Oryzias latipes: one gene and its partner. The protein of the gene in region 2 interacts with the protein of the main gene of each other region in a pairwise test. Links are inferred from orthologs where the notes say so. Each region holds a gene or a part of one and is shown on either strand. Other genes may lie near its edges.

The links.
Region 1: the proteins of diexf (region 2) and RUN and FYVE domain-containing protein 1 interact in binary tests that used the Homo sapiens proteins (3 or more experiments, as listed by UniProt). The link is inferred for Oryzias latipes from reciprocal best matches to the Homo sapiens genes UTP25 and RUFY1.

The regions. Positions count from the first base shown.
Region 1 is NC_019868.2:19,587,667-19,598,717, forward strand, and holds the end of RUN and FYVE domain-containing protein 1, read right to left. Parts: intron 11,015-11,051; coding exon 10,897-11,014; intron 10,367-10,896; coding exon 10,265-10,366; intron 10,181-10,264; coding exon 10,057-10,180; intron 9,984-10,056; coding exon 9,922-9,983; intron 9,847-9,921; coding exon 9,711-9,846; intron 9,576-9,710; coding exon 9,474-9,575; intron 9,393-9,473; coding exon 9,276-9,392; intron 8,891-9,275; coding exon 8,723-8,890; intron 8,652-8,722; coding exon 8,554-8,651; intron 8,485-8,553; coding exon 8,365-8,484; intron 7,987-8,364; coding exon 7,857-7,986; intron 6,117-7,856; coding exon 6,022-6,116; intron 5,928-6,021; coding exon 5,879-5,927; intron 5,783-5,878; coding exon 5,705-5,782; intron 5,624-5,704; coding exon 5,480-5,623; 3' UTR 4,495-5,479; downstream 1-4,494. Other genes in the region: hnrnph1 (heterogeneous nuclear ribonucleoprotein H), read left to right, coding at 1,257-1,395, 2,055-2,251, 2,418-2,530, 2,632-2,767, 2,844-2,927, 3,082-3,174, 3,873-3,970. UniProt on the Homo sapiens protein: Activating adapter involved in cargo sorting from early/recycling endosomes. Regulates retrieval of proteins from endosomes to the trans-Golgi network through interaction with the dynein-dynactin complex.
Region 2 is NC_019880.2:28,787,183-28,799,305, reverse strand, and holds the start of diexf (digestive organ expansion factor homolog), read right to left. Parts: upstream 11,352-12,123; 5' UTR 11,296-11,351; coding exon 11,195-11,295; intron 5,691-11,194; coding exon 5,651-5,690; intron 5,577-5,650; coding exon 5,405-5,576; intron 4,667-5,404; coding exon 4,433-4,666; intron 2,314-4,432; coding exon 2,225-2,313; intron 2,159-2,224; coding exon 1,754-2,158; intron 1-1,753. UniProt on the Homo sapiens protein: Component of the ribosomal small subunit processome for the biogenesis of ribosomes, functions in pre-ribosomal RNA (pre-rRNA) processing. Essential for embryonic development in part through the regulation of p53 pathway.

The DNA of each region.
Region 1 (11,051 bases), on a different chromosome or scaffold from region 2:
AGTTGTTGCAAGACTGAAGGGGACCCTCTCCACAAGAATGTTTAAGGCTTTCCACAGATTTTTAAATAGGATTTGGATCAGAGCACCTCTGAAAAGTCCCAACTGTTTTACTTTTAGCCTTTTTTGTGTATTTTGTGTCATTTGTCTGCTAAATGATGAATTATCTGCTAGGGAGACCAACCATTGTGGCAGAAAAAGCACTTTTTACTTTATAATGCCTTGATAACAGAGAAGAATCAACAATTCTTTGTGTGTGTAACTTAAAGCTTAATTTCATTTGTAGACGTGTTTCTTAAAAAGAAATCATTTTGCTGGGTCTCAGTCTGAAACATCTAAGAGTTGTTTGCTCAAGTTTTCCAAGGTAACCATAAACTATAAATAAAAAATGTATATTTTGAGACTCATATTGGGTCAATATTGGGTTTTGGTGAACACCTGTGTACTATGTCTTGGGTAATAATCTCCTTTTAGGATCTGGTAAAATGGGAGGATCACTTTAAGTTGACTTTTTTGTTTTTAAGTCACATATTTTTCATTGTTCTGTGTTCTTTGATTTTTCTGAGTAAATCAACAGTGTTTGCACAGTTTGTGTGTTTAGATGAAGTGATTTTTACGAATGCTTTAGGCTAACTGTACTTGTACTGCTCAGCTGGGCAGATGGGCGCTTTTTGGGTTCTAGCCTCTGTCATGCCCCCCGGGCTTCTTCTTTTACCCTTTACAGGTATTACAAATGACTTGTTTACACGCCTCCCAATCTAAGCACTTTAACACCAAAGTGGGGGATTGCTGCCCTTGGGGGTGCCGGGCTGAGCTGCTTTCACAAATACAAAATAGAACCTCTTCCCAGTTACCCCAGCATTCTTTCCTCCTCACACTTCCTCAGCCCTTTGTCTCTTAATAATGTTTATATAATTGATGTTCACAGTTTGTGTCAGACCTCAGATTTGTATCTGATTGGCAAAAGGTAATGTTCCTCATGTCACCCACCGAAACCTTTTTCTCCATCAACACCCCACTATTAGCTTGGTGCCCCCACAAAATGCCCCCTTTCATACTCTCTTTCTATCCTGTCATTTCTGCTTTAACCCCACAACACAGTAAGTGTAACTCCTTGAAAGAGCCAGGTAAAAACTGAACTGGTATATGTGTGATGTGTAAGAATTTCCATAAGTTTTCTCTCTCTTTAGAGAACGTTCTGTGATTGGGCATGTGATTTAATATGTCCCCTGCTGGGGTTATCTGTCCTTGGGTTGAAGGGTTGGAAATCGTGCCAAATGGGATAACATTGCCGGTGGACATCCAGGGGAGGAGTACGGGGGAGGCCTTCGTGCAGTTTGCTTCACAGGATATAGCTGAAAAGGCTCTAAAGAAACACAAGGAAAGAATAGGGCACAGGTGGGGATGGTTGGTTGGTTGGCTGGATAAGTTGCTTTTCTTATGGTGTGCACCTTCAACAACTGCCACACATTTTTAAACAACACACCTTTAAACATAAACACTGCATTAAAAGAAACCCTGCCCGACATTCACACTTTTCAGTGGGGAGGTTAGTGCTCTGTCACCATTCGAAAACAGACTATTCCTAATTTGGCTGACATAATTTAAAAAAAAAAGCAAATGGTGTCTCAGCACTAAATGTGAGTCCAGGTTGATACACGGTAAGGAATCTCCCTTGTGGTAAAAATCCCAGGGCCACTGTACACAAGGATCTGGAGCCCACTGCCTCAGGTAATGCTTAGAGTGGGTTGCAGTGTGGGTAGCGCTCTCTTTAGCCTTCTTAAACCAGGACACTGGCTGCTGTGTCACGGTCAAAGGAAGCTGTAACTGTAATATGCATCCCATTTCTAATTTGCCTCAGGTAACCATAAGAAAAGCTAAGTTACCAAGGCTTACTGTATAGAGTTCTTGTCATTTCTTAAACACCAAGCATCTAGTAATGTTAGATATGTCTATAATTGGACTACAACATGACAGCAACTGCATAGACCAGATTTAAGCAAATGCAGCTCCTATCCATTCCACATGGCCTAATTGTGATACTTTTATGCACTCAGGTACATTGAAATCTTCAAGAGTTGTCGTGCTGAGGTGCGGACTCACTACGAACCCCAGAGAAAGCCCATGGGTATGCAGAGACCCAGCCCCTACGACCGGCCCTCTGGTGGTCGCGGCTACAACATGATGGGCAGAGGGGCATCCTATGACCGAATGCGCCGTGGCGGTTATGGAGGAGGAGGAGGAGGAGGAGGAGGTGGGTGGACTCGGAGCAGGCTAATGTTGGGCTTGGTGCTCTAAAGCTGCGCAGCTGTTTGAAATCTCTCAGCCGATGGCCTTTCATGCAAACACTGCATTATAGAACTAATGGGATTAGGGTGTGAGGTCCTTGGAAGACTGTGCTAATCTCACTGTATATGCAGGTGTGTCAGACGGACGCTATGGCGACAGTGGCTCGTCTTTCCAGAGCACAACAGGTCACTGTGTCCACATGAGAGGCCTGCCATACAGAGCCACAGAGACCGACATCTACAATGTGAGATGGAAACTCATCACTAACAAACCACTACAGTTACAAGTTTGTTTTGGATTCTGTTTAAAAAAAACAACTTGGAAACTTTGACTTCCGTGCTTTAGTTCTTCTCTCCGTTGAATCCTGTGCGCGTCCACATTGAGATTGGTCCAGACGGCAGAGTAACCGGGGAAGCGGATGTAGAATTTGCAACACATGAAGATGCTGTAGCAGCCATGTCCAAAGACAAAGCCAACATGCGTGAGTTAGTTTGTGTAGCTTCAAATGCACCGTATCACTCATTACCCTTTTAGTTAAAGCACGGTTGTCTTTGCAGAGCACCGTTATGTGGAGTTGTTCCTAAACTCAACAGCAGGTGGCAGTAATGGAGCTTATGGCAGCCAGATGATGGGTGGCATGGGTAAGTGATGGAAACCAAGATATTTTGACCTCTTGATTGTAAGGAAATGCTTAACCAAAGATAGAATACATTGATAGTTAAGCCTTTTCTTAAAGGGAATACATGATTATAATAATTTCTCCTTAAACCTGATGTGTTTTATTTTTGTCCACAGGAAACCAGTCCTCTTACAGCGGGGGTCAGCTAAGTTCGGGGTACTCTGGTGGGTACAGCAGCCAAGGAAACATGGGCGGCTACAATGACTACAGTGAGTGTCATCTCTTTTTCTTGTGCTGATCTTAACCCTAAAACATTTCAAGGGTGATGTAATAATGCTAAAACCATGAAGTATATATTTTGTCTTTAAGCCAATGGTTTATTCTCAAAAGGAAGTTTCTAAAATAACAATTCAAGCTAATCTACATCTGATATGTGACTTTAAGCACTACATTTGTTGAACACGTTGACTGTATAATAGAACTGGACTTGGTGATGGTGACGTCACCTGTAAAAAATGGCCGACTCCTGGCTCCAACCAAATGACGTCAATTCAGATGTCTTATTTTTCACGATACGGACATTGCCACATATTACGTCATCAGGAAGCAATGATTGGTGTGAAATCTGTCCAACGTTGAGGCCAGTAGGCACCACCTACTTTCATCTGATTGGCCAGTTTATAACTTGAACAACTTGCACTACAGAAAAAAATACCGTGGAAAAAAAAAGGATTAGCAAGAAAATGTAAGATATAATGCTTGAGTAATAGCAGTTTATTTTTCAATCGAAGTCTAATGCATTCACTTCCTGTTTGGAATGCTAAGGGGGAGGGGTTCCTCAGTCCAGTTCTCATATACAGTCTATGGTCAAACATAATATTCAAAGCAGAAGTGTTCTTGCTTGGTGGTACCTCGCTCTCATATAAACTCTTTGGTCCAATAGTGTGTATTTTCTCTTTCTTGTTAGGTAACCAGGGCGGGATGGGAAGCAGTTACTATGGTGGCGGTGGAGGCGGAGGAAGCAGAGGCTCAATGAATGGACTTGGTGGGGGATGGGGAATGTAGATATTTTTTTTTTTTGTTTTTTTCTCCACTTGTTAGATTTTTTTTTCTTTAAGTCAGCATTTTGCTAAAAGAACTGAAACTCCGAGCTTCGCCTTGTAAACTCTGTAGTCAGTTGAGGTTTTGAAAATGTTGAGGGCGTAGTTTTTTTGTTTTTATAAGAAAATGACCTTCAAAGAGAAGCTGGACCGTCCCGTTTCCACCAGAAATGTCTGAAGTGTTAACCGACCCGCTCCTCAGATTTAACACCTTACAGAACTTTGCTTTCATTTCTACGACCCAAAGTTATGCTGTTTTGCTTTGCTGATCCCCAAACACCAGTCTGGAATTCACAGAGTACACTTGATGAGTTGGTGGTCTGAAACACACCATGCAAAGTCTTTATGCATGAGCAGGGAAACTGCAAATGTCTACTGTCCTTTTGATATTTTACTTTGTGTCTGCCTCTAGTCTTTTATTTCCAGTTAAAATGTTACCCCAAAGTGAATTTTGGTGTGGTCTGAGCGTGCTTTCTTTTCTACAGTTTGTTTTCTTTTTGGTGAATGAAGGCTGTATCCAGGGCAACCAATTTCCAATTTGCTACAATGGAGGTTTTTACTGCTTCAAATTTCTATTTGTATTTTCTGTGCACAAAGTGAATAAAAGTACTCCGGAATATGTCATTGAAAAAAGAACAAGTTGTAAGTTTATTTAATAAATTGGTAAAAATGTTAAATCAAAATTCTCCAACTATAGAAACCGATTTATCGTAGTCATCACGAGCCACAAAAACTAAAGACATTCAACGTTAGTTTCTGTCGACATTCCACGGTCATTTACACAAACTTACATCCTGATCAGAACTGTTTAATAAAATATTAAGTCTCAAGTTAATACATTTTTATGCAGAAAGACGAGCCTTAAAGTTTTTGTAATCTGCATTGTAGAAAGGTTTAGAAAGTCGTAAGCAAAATAAACTGGATATTTGAATATCCAATGGCTTCATAATCAACTAAAGCTACACTAGTCACTGGAAACCCACCAAATGAGGGTTTGTAGATATGAAAGTTAATCAGCAGAATCCGAACAGTCTTAAAGATTTGGTTTTGCGATCAGGTCTTCTGGTTTTGCTAAACAAGTCCACAATAAGACATCAGATCCTGAACCCGAGCCTCTTAGCCATAGAACTGGAGCTGCTTTCGTTTACAAAATGTGACGTGAACATGTTTCTGTGTCTGCACTTTAAAAATAAACCCAAAACTGGAGTTCAGATGGTGCTGTGCGCCGTTCCTGCACTGCCGTAGTGTACCAACACAAAACCGGAGCATGATTGTGTGTTTGGACTTCACTGAATAGTGAGGGTGTCAGTGTTGTTGAAAAGACGTGGAGCTTATCGATTTCAAAACATGAAGGGAATTTCAGAAAATGAAACGGCAAATCAGGTTTGACAGTTCTCCTTTACCGTAAGCTCTCTAGTTCTTTGTGATTGGTTGTTATTTAGCGTTACATCTAAGTCTGTGGTGTGGTGTGTCGTCAGGAAGCCGTTGAAGAGCTTCTCTGCAGAAGGAGGGCGTGGCACACGTCGCACACCCGCACAGGCCGAGGGTAGGAGGGCAAGGCCAGCTCATTGCTGGAACAGCTGTTGCAGTAGATGTCTCCACAGTTTCTGCAGTGGTGCTGCAAAAACAATCATTATTAGTATTATTTTCACATCTAAATAGATTTTTGAAGAAGTTCAAAACAACAAAGAGCCCGGACCTTTCTTCTGGCGATGGAGAACTCCTTCTGACACTGTTTGCATTGAGTGGCTTCATCGTCTTTCAGCCATGCGTGGCCCTGGAGGTGTCAGCACAGGCATTTACTCTTTTTTTTTTTCCTATTCGTCCACAAAAATTGGATGCATTAGTAACACAAGTGACTCCTTCAGTTTACCTTTAGGGCTTTGTTGACCTCTTTAAAGTCTTCCATTTTAAGTTTGGACCTTTAAGCACACACAAAAAAAGCAAAATAAGAGAGGATTTATGCACTTAAAAATGAAATATTTGATTCTTGAAGTAAAAACGACTGATACTGACTGACTCAGATGCAGTCCCATCTCCTGCAGGGCCTGTTCCTGCTGCTCACACCTCTCCTGCAGCTGCTGCTTCTCTTGCTTCAACTCCTGAAGCTCCTGCAACAAATAATGCATTAGTTCTTTCTTTTTCCTGACAACAGCTGTTAAACCATTAAAACAGTAATGTACATAAAAATGTATGTATTAAAAGCAGCAGAAAGGACTAAGAAGTCTTACTATTTTACACTATCAAGTCCCACTCCAATTATCTTTTAATCGATTTTTTAATTATGATTACGCTGTTTTTAGCCTAAATTTAAAAATAAAATTCGTTTTAAAGAACATAGCTTCTGCAGAGCGTCAGGAGTTCATCAGAAATTCACTTCTACGATGTGGGGGAGTGAGCCAGCATTCATTTCCCATCATCCCTTTGTTTACACTCTTTCCCGCTAGCTTACAGCCCCTCACAACCCTGACCTAAAATCACCGGTGCAACAAAAATAGTGAGCAATATCAGAGCTATCCAGCTGTCCAGCTTTAAGCCACATGCCAGCTCAGATAATGAAAACAAAGACATTTATGAATCTATGCATCTGCAGGTGGATGCCTCAGAATGGAGTGGAGCAGGGAGTTTGTGGTCTGTCAATTGTAGCTTCTTTGTCACACCTACGAGCTTTTCCCAACGGCAGCTTAGTGTCTGCTTCTGGTTCACAACCATTTGAATAAAGAAATAATTACCGGTAATCTTTTTTTTTTTAATATATGTCCATTAGGACAAAAATGCTACAATGACATGTCAACAACACCCAAATATGATTTTCATTGGAATGGGTCTTTTTTGCTTTTTACTAATTTAAAGTTACAGTTGTTTTGAAAGGTTTTGTTTTTTGCATTAGTAGATTTATTTATCCACTGATATCTTTTAATTACCGTATTTTCCGGACTATAAGTCGCCCTTTTTTTCATAGTTTGGCAAGGGGTGCGACTTATACTCCGCAGCGACTTATATTAGGAATAAATTGAAATAAATATATTGTTAACCCTCCTGTTATGTTCATTTGTGAGGAACAGAGATGATGTTCCTGGGTCAATTTGATGTATGAGGTATGTTAAGTGTTAAAAGTATGTTAAGTGACTCAGAGAATCAGCAAACTTTTTTTACAGTAAGATCTTGAAGGCTAACAACATAATATTCTATTTTCCAATGATTTCATAGATTCAGAAATGCAATAAAATGACAACTGTTTCTACAAATACAGGATGAAAACAGAGAATTAGTTGGCCAATGATGCTTCATGAAGAATAAATAAATAAGTTTGAGAAAAAATTACTGTGAAATTATTAGATAAACAGTCTGCTATGATTGTGTCATATAAGGTTGTGAAAGTTATTAGTTCTTGGTCACAGATTTTGTCAAATAAATTTCCTGTCAAAATGCGACTTATAGTCCAGTGCGACTTATCTGTGTTTTTTTCTACTTTAAAATGCATTTTTGGGCTGGTGCGACTTATAGTCCGGAAAATACGGTATATAGAAATAATTCTGGTTGTTACGCTCCTACCACAAAAGGCAAATAGTCTTCAAAAAAACGAAAAGGGTAAAGTGAAATAACATGCAATAAAAAGCAGTATACAGTGGAACCTGTAGCTACTTTATGCTCGTAGTTTTGGTCATTTTTTCAACTATTTAACGTGAATGGGACCCCTAGTAATGCATGTTAACAAGGAACCATCCGGATATTTGCATACGCTCAAAAAACCCATTTTTTTTCCACTTCTTTCATGCCATAAGAAGTGGACACTTGGCTAAGGGCGAATACAGTTTGGTGAAAACGTTGTTTTCTCCTAGTTTACTGACCACATGCAGGCCCTGCAGCTGCTGCAGCTGCGTGCGGAGCTCCGAGCTGTTGTCCTGCTCTCGCTGCAAGGCTTTCTGCAAGCTTTGCCTCTGCTCCCTCTCAGTGCGCAGCTCATTTTCCAAACCCAGCCTGCGTCACAGAGGAACACAGTCACTCCAACATTTCACTTCATTCAATCATGCAGCCACTGAAATGGGTTGAAAACTCAGTGAAAGGAACCACAGCTAACAGCCACACAACAAAACAATCAGCTGCATTTATTTAGGTGACGTTTAAACAAATGTCATGTTTTTTCACTGCAACGATGCAAGAAAACTGTATTTAATGTTCGTGCTAAAACATTTTCAAACTAATTGCAACAAAACTTTGTTTCAAATCGTTTCTTAAAACATATCCCATGACAAGAAACAGTCTAAAGAGGTTCATTTTGTCTCCACATTACTGCAGCTATGGTTTGAAGTAAGAAAGATGAAACATGGTTTTAGTTGTTTTTACTGTGTGAATCACCTGAGTGTATCCAGGTCTGTCAGCTGTGTCTGCAAAGCATCTACTTTTCCTTCCAGTTCTACTTTCATGTCTTCATCCGACTGGTCACTCTGCTTGCGTTCACACTCAGAGTTCTGCAGTCTGAAAGATCAGAAGGAGCACCGATTTTAATGGAAAGACCTAATGCACAAAAGACACACGTTTGAATACCTCTGCTCCATTTCCTCCATGGCTTTCTCCATGTCTTTCATCCTCTGCTCCAGCTTCACCGCTTCCTCCTGCTTTTTCTCCGCTTGTCTCTCCGATTCCTTAAGAGCCGCACAAATTTGTAAGATTCTGTGCTGCCATGTTCAGAGACGGTTCACGCCTCTGCGTCTACCTGAGCTCTGTGGAACATCTGCAGATTGAGCGTTTTGACTTGCTCCAGCTGGAGCCGTAAGGCCGCCAGCGTGTCCTGTTTCTCGTGGGAGTCCTTCTCCAGCAGCTTCATGGCCACCTCCATCTCCTGCTTCAAGCCCACCTGGAGCTCCAGCTCACGCTGCAGCTCCTAACAGAAGACTAGTTTGAGTCTTTTGCCTTCTTTGGGACATAACACAAAAACGTATACCGGTACTCAAAAAAAAAACTCAAATTGAACATGAAGCCACATTAAAACTTCCTTTGGATTTTCCCGTATAAATGTTCAGATAAAGAAACACAAGACAGGAACACTAGGAGCATGACTTTGCAACAACAAGTATAAAACAGAAAAGTTGGAAGTAAGCACTGCTAAAGACATATTTAGAAGTTTAAAATTATGTTAATAATGATTAAAATGTAAGGAAAACTAAAGTACTGGTATATAAAAATAAAAACCCTGGAAAAAACATAATATCTATAAAATATAATAGATATATTGTTACAGCATTTAAGCCCACCCAAAATGGTCACACCTGTCGAATTCGCTTCTCCTCTTTGTACTGTTGCCACACAACGTTGTACATCTCATCCAGGCCTTGTCGAGTCTGTTTGTAGGTCTCCAGCTCCACCTGACTGTCCTGAAGTGCTGCCTGGAAACACGCGCGTTTTATTAAGTGCCTTTTCCCTCCTTCATGTGACAAAAGTCCAACTGCTGGTAGTTTGAGTCAGACCTCTTCCTTCTTCTGGCTGCACTGCAGAATTGACTCATTTTCCTTCTTCAGCTGTTCCTGTTCATCCTGCAGAGAGTTGATTCTGTCTGTTGCTGCTGTGAGCTAAAGACAAGAGCACAGAAAAGAAAAAAAACTGTTTACATTTAGATAAATGTCAGAATTTAAAAAAATAAAAATAAAATCACTTCTTTTGACTTGTTTGAAATGAAACAAACGGCACATACAAGTGCACCTGACCTCCTCTACAAGCTTGCTGTTGGTTTTCTCTATTGAGTCCAACTTAGCCTGAAGGTCGGTGACGGTTCCACTTAGGTGACGGTTCAACTCCTCAATGTAGTGCTTCTGATCTAATATCGCTGTCATGTTAGCATCGCTGCAAGGAAAGAAGAAAACAACTCAGGAGTGAAAACTGATAAAGTACCGATAACATTTACAAGCATCCACTTACTCTTTTGGCGTTTCAGAACTTGCAGGATCTTTTAGGTAAAGAGAAAAGTCAATGACTCCCACCTTGATGTAGGAGATACAGATCAACATATTGCTTGGAAATAATAAATACGGAGAAGGACGTTTTACCACTCACCTGAGAATCAAGGTCCTCCCCTTTAATGCAGAGGTTTGCATCAATGACGTTGAGGCCCACAAGCAAACCACCCAATACGGAGCCTTCTTCTTCTAACATCATCGCTCCAGAGTCATAAAACTCACTGACATTTACAAAATGAGGAAGAAAGAAAAAAATAATCAACAAAATGTTTACACAGGAGTCAAATTCAATGCATTTACTTCACCTCAGGAGGTCTTTGTGGTCCAACAGAGCTTTAATGTAGTCTGCTATTTTTTTCTGCATGAGCGCCAAATGCAACCAGGCCCGCCCTCTCCCTAAACCCGTTCTGGAAAACAATGAGAAATGAACACAATGTCACATTAGTGGAACACCCCTGGTAGTGATAGACAATTGCCTTTCTGAGTATGTCTTTATTTAAATGGTTGTGACACCAAAATAGCATTTGAAAAAGTTTGAAGACAACTAGATCCATTTATGTTTTTGTTTTCCTCATCTGAGCTGGTATTCATCTTAAAACTGTATGGCTGGATAGCTCCAATATTGCTCGCCATTTTTATTTCACCCGTAATGTTAGGTTGGGGTTGTGAGCTAGCAGGAGAGTGGGTTAATAAAGGGATGATGGGAAATGAGGCAGGCTTACTCCAAGCCAAAAGCCTGGTTCACAACTCGGAGTTGAATTTCAGATGAACTACAGCTACTCTGGAGAATCTATGTCCTAGAAAATGACACAGGTTGTTTGATTTTGGCTAAAAAGGGCATAAACGTGATTACAGGACCACTGAGAACGCTTTTACAATAGATCAAAAGATGATTGGAGCGGGGCTTCATGGTTTAAAATAGTGAGTAGCAACGCACCGAATGCCAGGTAGATCTCTGGCACTGGTTGCAATGTTGGCAGACTCTGGACACAACTTCTCAACCAACTCCAGAGGCCCCCAAATGGACTTGTTCTGACCAATAAAGGATTTCTTGGCTGCAATAAAAAAAAGACCATCAAGTGATATTCTTTA
Region 2 (12,123 bases):
TGGGAAGCGTCTCGTTTGTTTCACTTGTGTGCAAACGGTAGAGAGGACAAAAAAGGTTCACCAAAAGGATAGCAAATTAACATGACTATGTTTATGCAAACATTTACTCGCCCTGTGCCGACTAACCCTCCAACTTTTACTCGCTAAAGAAGAGAAAATCTTTGCAACTGGGGAGTGCTAATTTCGGACCCTTCAAAATAAATGTCTATCGCGATATATTTAATTAGAATTTTATCGCTCAGCCCTACCAGTGTGAGTCCTGTTGAAATGTCCAATTTTTCTCTTTTAAAGTCCCACCCGATCTATTGTGAAAGCATCCCCAGTGGTCTTTCATTCATGATTAAGCTGTTTTTAGCCTAAATTAAAACACGTTTTTAGTATTTTTTGGACACAGACGTGAATTGATCTAGTCATCTGCAAACAGGTGCATCAGGATAGAGTGAAGCAGGAAGATTGTGGCTATCCAGCATATTTTCTTCATCACAAATATAATCTTTTTAAAACTGAATTTTCAGAAAAGTGCAGGGAAAAAATTATTTTCATCTGAGTGGGTTTTTAGATAACACCTTAGCTCAGGGGTCGGGAACCTATGGCTCGCGAGCCATATATGGCTCTTTTGATGGTCACATGTGGCTCGCAGACAAATCTTTAATTATAGTTTTTTTTTTTTCATTAGACCAGTCCTTCTCGGGCGCGATGCGATGCCAGAGGCGCGCAGTAGTAGCAGTGCTTAGAGAGAGAAATCTGCGCCAGCGCTATCAGTTACTATTATCTATTATTTCACAGAGTTTGTACCAGCTGGAAACTTGTGAATTGACGTGCCTAAAACTGCGCGCTCCCGTCTCTGAGAAAGAGCGCGCAGATGCGGGGACAGGATGTGACTGAGAGGGAGAAAGCAGAGGGTGGGGGTGGGGGGACAGCAGGTGAATCGCGCAGGGATTATAAAAACGTAAAACCCGCTGCCCGTCACTCACTGCAGCGTGTGAGTGTGTGTTTGGCTCCCCGTCTGCATGTGAGCAGTCTTTCTCACATCTACAGAACATTCAGACCTACGATCACGTTTAAAGTTTCAACGCCTTAACGAAGCAGAAACTCACCACGGATCAACCAGACTAGACCATCAGCAAAACTACCACGAGAAATACTCATCATTTATTAGCAACAGCATAACTATGTTATTAAAAAGAATCCACAGACTTATTGTACTTTAAAAATGTTGAAATTAAATCAAATGCACACATTCATTTGTATATTTAGTTTTAAACAAATTGTCGCGGACTGAGTTGGATGGCTGTTGGGCCGCGTTAAAAGTTCTGGAGTTCATTGAACGCGTCAAGCAGAGATCTGATTGGCTCTCAGTTCTGTCGCTCAGCCTGTTGTTAGGTAGTTTGGACCAATGGGGTTCAGCTATGGGCCGAATAAGGGAAATGGGAGGGCTGCAGCGGTAGCAGGGGAATATAAAGTTGGGAGAAGCGCTCTCTCTCGTCTCGGCGGGAGAGATTCAGGAGTTGCTGAATTAATTGTACGGCGTTTGTTGCGGTCTGCAGTAATCGGAATAAAGAACTTTAAAAGGTTAAGTCTCCGTGCCTCAGTGTGGGGAAGGGACACTACATTATTGTATGGCTCTTTCGAAATTACATTTCAAAATATGTGGCATTTATGGCTCTCTTGGCCAAAAAGGTTCCCGACCCCTGCCTTAGCTGTTAATCAGTCATGTATGAAAACAAGAACTGCTTGGTTATGGCTGGGTTACCTTGGGCCTGGTCAGTCCCTGGTCTCTGTGTTCTTCTTGGCACTCAACTGTAGATTTTGTTTTCCGCTCCCTCACCTGCGCATTGTGCAACAGTACTTGAGAGTTGGCCCTCAGAACGTGGTTAAGCACATGGAGGCAGTATGCACTTCGGACCTGAGGACCCAGCTTAAGTGGACAGGTCTCTGAGTAACACAAATCCTTGTAGGAGGCCATGAGGGTCAGTAACTCCAGCTGGAGAGGGCTGATCTCCTCGGGTGTTTCTTTAGGGTCGGATAGTTGGTTCAGATCCTTCCAGCTGGTTTTCAAAAATGGGTGGAAAACGGGGAGATTTCTATCTTTCTGCAGGTCAACTTGCCCAAACTTCTCAAGGAAAGTGGTGCAGAGAAGCGTTCCCATTCTTGCCAACTAATTCAGAAAAAAAGACAAAACTGTAAGCAGAGTTTAGCAAAAAATAAAGTACTCATTCCATACCGTAGTTTGTGTTTTTGATTTGCTGTCAGATATTATCTTCTGCACATCTTCTTCAGTGAGCTCTGTGTACAAATGCTGCTGGAACATATCTACAGATAACAGTCAAAACATTTGTAATTATAACAGAAATTAAGATCTACATTAAAAATGCATTTTTGTTAGGGGTGTAACGATTCATTTTAACAATGATTTGATTCATATAATAATGTGGTTTTTGATACAATTCATAGTCGACATTAGTTCATTTTGAACGATCCGATTCACTGACTTAAAATCGATCCAGGAAATCTTTAGCCAAGACTTCAACCAATGTGTCACAAGAGATAAATACCTGGGTACTGAACAGTGCAGGGGAAATTTTCCAGATTCCTTGCATTTCTTGTAGGATAATCAAGTGTAAAAAAAAGTGTACAAACAAGTAAACAAGACCTAATGGCAGAACCATTTACATTTGAGTTTCATAAGTTCAGCCCACTAATGATTATCCACATATAAATAATACAAACGGTACATTCTACCACACTGAATTGTCACGTCTTTGCAAAATTCAGTGTTTCCATACATTGGACTGTAATGATGGCTTGATCATTAATGCTCCCATCACGTGTGTGTTGTCCGCTGTGATGGCACTTGGTTGTTTTTTTAATTAAACATGTTTAAAATATCCAATAAATTTTGTTCAATTGAAGGTTGTGTCCCACTTGTTCATTCTTCACAAAAAATTACAGTTTATATCTTTATGTTTGATGCCTGGCAAAAGGTTGAAAAGTTCAAGGGGGACGAATACTTTCGCAAGGCACTGTATTATTTTGATATAAATTTATAACAATACAGGTCAATTTGACTCAATTAACAACTTGTCTCAGACAAATTAATATGGTTAGATTGATGCAGGGGTTCTCAGTACATCGATCGCGATCGACCGGTCGATCTTCAAGGACATGAGGGTAGATCCAGGAGAGAGAAGATTAAAAAAAAAAAAGCACTTCTTAAAAATCCACCAGCCAATCAAAATCCTCACCGAGAAGTACGGGACTTGATTGACATGCAGAACGGCCAATCGGACATCCTCTGATACATACGTCACTGCAGACGCCTGTTTAAATTCACTGAGCGCATAAATTCACTGAGCGCAAACTGTCATGAGAAAGTCGTTTTCTGCCCCGCGGCACATCTTGTCCCCGGCAGGAGAGCTCTCCGGACAACCGGAGTGTTTATTGAAGTCGCCCCGCGTTTCTCCTCTTGCTATCAGCTCTGCAGTTCTCGGCCGATAAATACGAGCTCATTAAGGAAGCTGTTTTATCAGAGGCACGCGCGTACGGAGCCAGCAGCGCATTAAATGCCACGCTCTTCCTATTGCACGATTTTCAGCAGAGCATGTCATACGATGGTTGCTGCTTTCTGTCTTTGTCATAAAACGCCTAATCTGTTAATACAAAAGTATCTGTGTAATCTCACTGTGTAGTTTTTTAATCATCAGTACATAAACAATAATGTTCAAATAAACAACTAATGTGACTAATAAACATTTACTAATAGTATATATATATATATATATATATATATATATATATATGCATGCATATCTTATAGGTAGATCTTCAAGACATTGTCGATTCAATGTCATTTACTAATAGTATTTATTAAAAAAAAAAAAAAACAAAAAAACGCCCCTCTCACCCTCCGCATGTGGTTTCTCCTCCAAGCTCGAGTCCTCTACCAGAGGCCTGGGAGCTTGAGGGTCCTGCGCAGTATCTTAGCTGTTCCTAGCACTGCGCTTTTCTGGACTGAGAGGTCTGAGGTCTTTCCAGGTATCTGTTGTAGCCACTCCTCCAGCTTGGGGGTTACTGCCCCAAGTGCTCCAATTACCACAGGCACCACTGTCACCTTCACTTTCCATGCTTTCTCCAGTTCTTCTCTGAGTCCCTGGTATGTATGTATGTATGTATGTATGTATGTATATATGTATGTATGTATGTATGTATATATGTATATATGTGTGTGTATATATATATATATATATATATATATATATATATATATATATATATATATATATGCATGAATATCTTTTAGGTAGATCTTCAAGACATTGTCGATTCAAAAGTAGCTCACACACCAAAAAAGTGTGAGCACCCCTGTGTTAATGAATAATTACACCCCTAACACATAACCATAATATATATTGGCCCTATCGTAGATTCTGACCTTTGCCGTTTTCCTCCTGCGTGAAGTTTCCGGCTTCACACTGCTCTTTTCTGTTCAGGAAGTTGGTATCTAGGGAAAACTCCAACTCTTGCCCCTTGTCAACAAACTCTTCTTCTTTAGCCTCGTTTTGGTACTTGCAATCTCCATTCTCAGCTTCTCTATTGGCAAGTTCCTCCAGCTCTTTCACATCTTCTTCATCATTATTACTTTCATCCTCAGCTTCATCATTGACTTCTGTAATACATTAAAAACAAAATGCTAATTAAAGTCCCTCTCCAACTACATTTTTTTATATCGTAAAATTGTTCCCAGTGCTCTTTTAATTATGATTATGTAGATTTTAGCCAGAATCAAAAAGCCTGTGTTGTTTTTTAAATACATTTTCTGCACATCGGCAGGAGCTCATTATAAATTGGCCTCTGAATTGAGGGCAGGACAGATGGTGTGAAGGAATCCAACCCCCTTCCCCACCCAGTCGCTGAGAGCTTGGTTTGCTTGCTCCATCGCAAGCTTATACCCAAGCTAACATTACTGGCACAAAACTGATGAGCAATATAAAGCTATCCAGCAGTGCAGTTTAGAGCCAGATGCCATCTTAGACAAGGACAACTGTACGACAAGATAAATCCAATATTGCTTGCAGTTTTTGTTGCACCAGTAACGTAAGGTTGAGGGTGTGAGGGGCTGTAAGCTAGTGGGAGAGAGTGTAAACAGATGTGTGACAGGAAGAGGCCGTGGGCTTGTTCTGTGACAACAGTTCCATCCAAAACTCAAAGGTAAATTTCTAATGAACTGCTGCTGCTCTGTAAAAAGCATGTCCTAGAAAACAACCCAGTTTTTTAGATTTTGGTTTAAAAAAATAGCATAATCATAATTAAAACACCACTGATAATGTTTTTACAATAAATCACAAGATTTCTTTCGTGGGACTTTAAGGCTAAATATCATCCAAACAAGCCTTTATACAATAACCTTTACTTAGAATTTCCTCTTCATCCTCTGAGCTTTCCTCCTCTGCATGAGGTGTGCATTGGTTCATTGTTGAAAGTAGCTTCTGATAGGGCGTTTTCTTTTCTGGTTCCTTGTCTTCTTGCCCATCTTCCTGCTCTTCTGGGTCTACGGGTGAATGTTCTGGGCTAGGTGGCTGAAGCAGACACAGAAGTGTAAATGAGGAAACTAGAGTTCAGAAAGGATAACAAGTGGAAAAGCAAAACTCACCAGTTCTACTATTTCCATCCTTTCAGATCCTTCGGTAACTCTATGAAAAAAAACAGAAAAGATAAAGACGCAATCAGAGAATCGTTTGCATTGCAGTTACTAATATCCATGTCCGTGCAAACATATTTTATTTTCTGGTAGTTTTAGGTCAGCAGACTGCAGATTTTCCAGCTACATTTTTTAAACTTGTCCTGTTGAACAGCTAAGTAGACAGATGAGAGGTGAAAGCCTCTTGTGTTGGACATATTTTACTGTTACAATAGGGGTTATGAAATGTTTGACACACTAGGTGAATATTCTAGAGAATTATTAGTCATAAATAGATTATATACATTTTTGATAGGATAATTTAGGCTAAACTTTATTCATCTTACTCATATCTGTAACAGTGTTTTGTTGGACTGGACGGCAAAGAAAAGAAGGGAAGAAGAGAGAGGGGTGCCCTTGGGGGGGGGGGGGGGTATTAAAGTGGAGGGGGGGGTCAGCAGCATAAGGCAACAAGTTGTTGGATGTTTGCAATCATTCCATTCAGGTTGATAAGTAATATAAATCCAAAAGGGATTCATTTCATTTCCTTAAAAAAAAACCCTCAGTGTTTGTGAAATGTTGTTTAGTTTAGTTTAGGACCATCTTGACTTTATTTCTTTATGGTCTTTGACTTTATTATTTAAACAAAAAAACTTTTTCTTCTTTTTAAATTTCAAACATGTTTCTTTTCTTTAACCTGTCCACACACACACACCCAAATGCCACAAACATACAGTGGTGGACAAAATTGTTGGTACCCCTCAGTTAAAGAAAGAAAGTCCACAATGCTTACTGAAATGACTTGAAATGTTCAAAAGTAACAATACATTAAAATTGAGTTGATTATCAGAATTATTTAAAAAAACTAACTAATCAAATAGAGCTGGACAAAACTGACGGTACCCACTACTTAATATTTTGTTGCACAACCTTTTGAGGCAATCACTGCAATTAAAGGGTTTATGTATTTGTCAATGAGCCTTCTGCACCTGTCCACAGGTATTTTGGACTACTCCTCATGAGCAAACTGCTCCAGTTGTCTCAGGTTTGACGGGTGTCTTCTCCAAATGGCATGTTTCAGCTCCTTCCACTGATGTTCAATGGGATTCAGATCTGGGCTCATAGGAGGCCACTTCAGAATAGTCCAACGCTTTTCTCTCAGCCATTCTTGGGGTTTTTTGGCTGTGTGTTTTGGATCGTTGTCCTGTTGGAAGACCCATGACCTGCCACTGAGAACAAGCTTTCAGACACTAGGCAGCACATTTCTACCCATAATGCCTTGATAATCTAGAGATTTCATTTGACCTTTACAACTTCAAGACACCCTGTTCCAGATGCAGCAAAGCAGCCCCAAAACAGAACTGAGCCTCCTCCATGTTTTCACAGTAGGGACAGTGTTCTTTTGGTCGTATGCTTCACCAAAAAGCTCCAGTTTTGTCTCATCTGTCCAAAGGACGGTTTCCCAGAAGCTTTGTGGCTTGTTAAGATGCATTTTTGCAAATTCCAGTCTCGCTTTTTTATGATTTCCTTTCAATAGTGGTGTCCTCCTTGGTCATCTCCCATGAAGCTTTTAACTGTAATGAAACTCAAATCTGCATCCCATTTTGTTATCGGATTGAAATATTATCTAGATTGCATAAGATTGTTCATATATTTTGGAGGTTTTATTCATTGAAAGAAATAATCAGATACAACTGGTTCTTGTAGTTCTAGGTAATTGTCTTTGTATTTAAATGTTTTAGTAATTATAGATTTAAGTTGTTTATATTTCAAGAAGTTATTTATTCCATGTTTGTCTTGAAGTTCCTGGGATGTTATGAATCTTCTATCAATAATTAATTGCTCTAGTAGTGTTACGCCCCCTGCTTGCCAAGCTGGGAAGTGTAACTTTTTTTGTTAATAAGGATGTCTCAGTTGTTTCAGATTAGGGTTGTGCCGATGGACAATATCATCGTCCATCGTGATGGGTGACTGACATCCCGATGGAGAGACCACCATCGTGATGCCACGCCCCCGCCCCGTTGCGCGTCGACACCATAAGCCGTGGTTACATGTACAAAATATCTTGATGGGATCAATGGTCGGATTAGAATCCAACCGTGTACATGGGCCCAGAAGAATGTTTTTAGAATATAAAAACGTTCACTAAGGTCACACTTTCCGTCGGAATAAATCATTCGCACATGCGCAGTAGGGTTTGAAAAACGGAGGGATATAAACTCCGCCGAGCGGCTTTTTTTCTTCAAACTTTATTGTATGTAACAATTCAATACAAAACAATGTTAAACAGCGCCGAGCGGCTATATACATTGACATGTCAGCTCGGTAAAATACGAGACGATCTTCTAAACGTGCTTTTAATAATGTTACGGTTATTATGAAACACCTGTTCGCTCATCATTTGAATTTTAATCCGTGTGGTCAGTGCTTTTTCTGAACGAAGCCAGGATTAGCAGTATGCTAACACGGGCTAACAACATTAGCTTTGGGTGGTGCTGCTTGCTGGCTGCACGTAAACATGTAAGAATAACATCAGCCTTTATTTAGTCGGGACACGACTGGAAACACAAATCCGCGTGATTGTTTGAATGTTTTCTAAGGACTGAGCGACATTTCTGCTTTGAAGCTCAAACCGCTGTGTTTCTGCTGACGATCCGAGCTGTGCACAGACACACACTTTTAGACCCGGTTCTGAGTTCGGTAGGTAGTACCCCTAGAGCTGCGGGACGGATCGCAGTCTTAAATCTCCCACACATACCGCTCATGTACCCCCCCCCCTTCCCATCAAACACAAAGCTGTAAGTCCGCACTCCCCCGGAAGTGCGGGTGCGGACTACTTCTTTTCTATTTTGTTTGTTACTTTTTTTGTCAAAGTCACTTCCCTCAGTTTATACTGGATCATCACGGATTAGTCATCAGTTGGGAAATAAAATGAAAAAAGCAAAAAAACGAATAGCAGTTATATAAGAACGAAAAATGTAAAAATACCCCCCCCCCCCCCCCCCCGACGATGTCATCGTCCATCCCGATGGTTGACAGCAAACATCGTCAACGGCCAATTTAATGGACATCGCCCAACCCTATTTCAGATGGTTGTCATTTTGCATGGTAAAAGTAACTTTAACTAGTAAACTGAACTGCACATAGAACTAGTAAATAGTTCTATGTGCAGTTCACATTTTTCCATTCCTGTGACTAAAATTTAATTAGTATACAGATCATTCAGATAGGCCAACAAATAAAGTTATGGCATTTTAAGTGATCACATGTAGGGCATATTTTATTTCTAAAATATAAAGGAAAACAACACAATTTGTGTGACCGGAATCAAAGATGAGTGTTCTTAGTGTCATAACTTCCCAATCCAAAAAAGGGAGGCATCTTTGCAAAGCCAGTCAAAAGAACTACAACAATTAAAGTTGATTTCAAATACATTTTTATTTCTGTATTATCAAATAATAATCAATTAGTAAAATAATCAAGAAATGGTACAGATCAATTTGAACTTACACTGATGCTGTAGGGCAGAATATACACCAACATCTTCGCATGACTAAGCCTGCACAATAAATTTCAAATTTATCGTTATCACGATATTAAGTTGTGCAATACGGATATCGCAAAAGATGGTGAAAATTGCAATAAATCGTTACAGTCTTATGACAGCTTGAAGTATTTAACGAATCAAATAAATCCCTTCATGTATTTGATCAATTGGATGGAGCTCTTTTATGTTAGATGTTGGCCTCATTTGTAGACTAGGGTTAACTCTTAAATTAAACTGTTGCAGTGAAATGGAAATTTGGTTTTTGGTTGTTTTGCTATTGTTCATGTATTGCAAGTAATATCGTCATTGCAATATTGATCACTAATATCGCCTATCTCGAGTTTTCCTTATTACATGCAGCCCTAAGTATTACATATCATGTTTATGAAATTATTTAGCTTAAAAAACATTTTTAAAGCAGACATCTTATTTACACTGGATATTTTTTTATTTTATTTTAAGTTACCAACATAAAGAGAAAGTCAGAAAAACATGAAAATAATATCTACAAAGTCCGCAAAAATATGATACCAAAGGGTAGAAATACATGAAATATTTTTTAAAAAGTCATGATTGATACATCCATCCATCTCCCTTCGCTTATCCGGGACCGGGTCCTAGGGGCAGCAGTCTTAGCAAAGACGCACAGACTTCCCTCGCCCCTGCCACTAACTACAGCTACTCTAGGGGGGACCATGAGGCATTCCTAGGCCAGCCGAGAGACGTAGTCTCTCCAGCGGATCCTGGGTCTTCCCCGGGCCCTACGCCCAGTGGGACATTCCCGGAACACCTCCCCAGAGAGGCGTCCAGGAGACATCCGGACTAGATGCCCAAGCCACCTCAACTGGCTCCTCTTGATGTGGAGGAATTGTGGTTCTACAACGAGCTCTTTGCGGGTGACCGAGCTTCTCATCCTATCTCTAAGGGAGCGCCCAGCCACCCTACGGAGGAAGCTCATTTCAACTGCTTGTATTCGAGACCTCATTCTTTTTGTCATGACCCAGAGCTCATGGCCATAGGCGAGTATTGGAACAAAGATCGACCGGTAAATTGAGAGCTTTGCTTTTGGGCTCAGCTCTCTCTTCACCACAACGGACCGATACGGCAACCACATAACTCTGGATGCAGCCCGCTCTGCCCATCAATCTCATGCTCCAAGATATTAAAACTCCTCCACCTGGGGCAAGGACACTTCACCCAGCAAGAGATGGCAAACTACCTTTCTCTGGTCAAGAACCATGGCCTCAGATTTAGCGGTCCTGACCCTCATTCCAGCCACTTCACACTCGGACGCAAACAGCCCCAATGCATGGCTCGATGAAGCCAACAGGACATCATCTGCAGAGAGCAGAGAGGAAATTCTGCGGTGCCCAAACCAGCCGGCCAGTCAGCTTACCCAAAACCTGTCATGTGACCTCATGTTCAAGCTTGCACTGCTTGCCAACGAAAAACACAGTACCTGTTTACTTTTTTATCTCATTAAATTTGCAGAAGGTGGAGAACACGACAGCAAAAATCGACTAGTATCAAAATCAGACACCAACTAACTTAAAAGCTGACGAGAGGTTTTGTGAACCGAAATTTCCGTCCGGAAAAATTCCTACGTCGTTACACGAGTTAAAATTTGAGAAGCAGGTCAAAAACAAATTTTATTACAAGATGTGCTCGACTTTATGCTACCTACTGATGACAAGCGATGTTTATTCAAAGAAAGTCAACGCTGCAGCCTCGCGCACAAGCTCGGATCGCTAGTTTGCCAGATACTTCCGGTGGCTAATCTACTCATACGAGCATGGTCAAAAAAATAAATGGGAAAAATGTTTCTCCAAGAAATACATTGAAATCTTAATTAAATAGATAAATACGAGCTGTTAGCAGAACTTGTTTAATAAAACATACATTATTCTTGATAACCCTCAAGTCTGTATATGTCTTAACATTTGTAAAACTAAAAAGGAAACAGCGCTTACACATCGTGGAATGGGTGCTCCTCTCCAAATTCCTTCAAGTGTTTCTTCTGCTTTTTGGACAGTTTCGTAAAGAAGTTATTTTTCTGTCTTCGCTTCGTCATGTTGTGCTTTTGAGCCACGTGTGGAGGAAGGACTTCTTCTATGGTAAAGATAAGAAGCGACTCTATCGCCACCTACAGTTGCGGAGTATTTTTTTTTTTAGTTAGAAATGATGCACATAGAAATAGCAACATCATACAAATAGATATCAAAGAAACAAAGTCAGGAGGTGTTACAAATATTCAGACACAGAGTAAAGTAATAATATATTGGTGGTTTTCAAGGCCTTTTTCTTACTAGCATGACTTATTTGTGACATGTAACAACAATGTCATTTTAAAAGTGCTTCAAAACGGTCTTTGTTGACTTTGTTTGGATTTCTGGATTTCACATCCACATTTTTTGTGGATGTGAAAATTTGCCATTAGGATTAATATGTTTATATAAAAAATGTGTCTTCTTATTTTAAGATAAAATCCTTGTGCAGATGATCAAAACCCTAGTGTGTGAACAGATCGAGAAGAGGTGATGTAGAGACTCTGGGTGGTTTCCTCATAGGAATACCTTGCAACAATGTTCCTATTGAATTTGGACATGAAATTGTTAACAGGGTAAAACTTATGTAAAATTTTGAAAGAAACTTTGTCTGTTATTAACCCTTGTGCTATCTTAGGCACTTTAATATTGGGAGTTGGGTCTTCTAGACCACTAGATAGTGAGCTAAACCTTTTTTCTACAATTATTTGTGAACCTCACTGGTGCCCATGGATTACATCATGGTAGGGAGAACACATCAATGTGAGGGTGGGGTCATCTAAGATAGCACAAGGGTTAAACATCTACTAGGAATTACCCAAATTTTTTCCCAATCTTAATCTGTAACTACACCT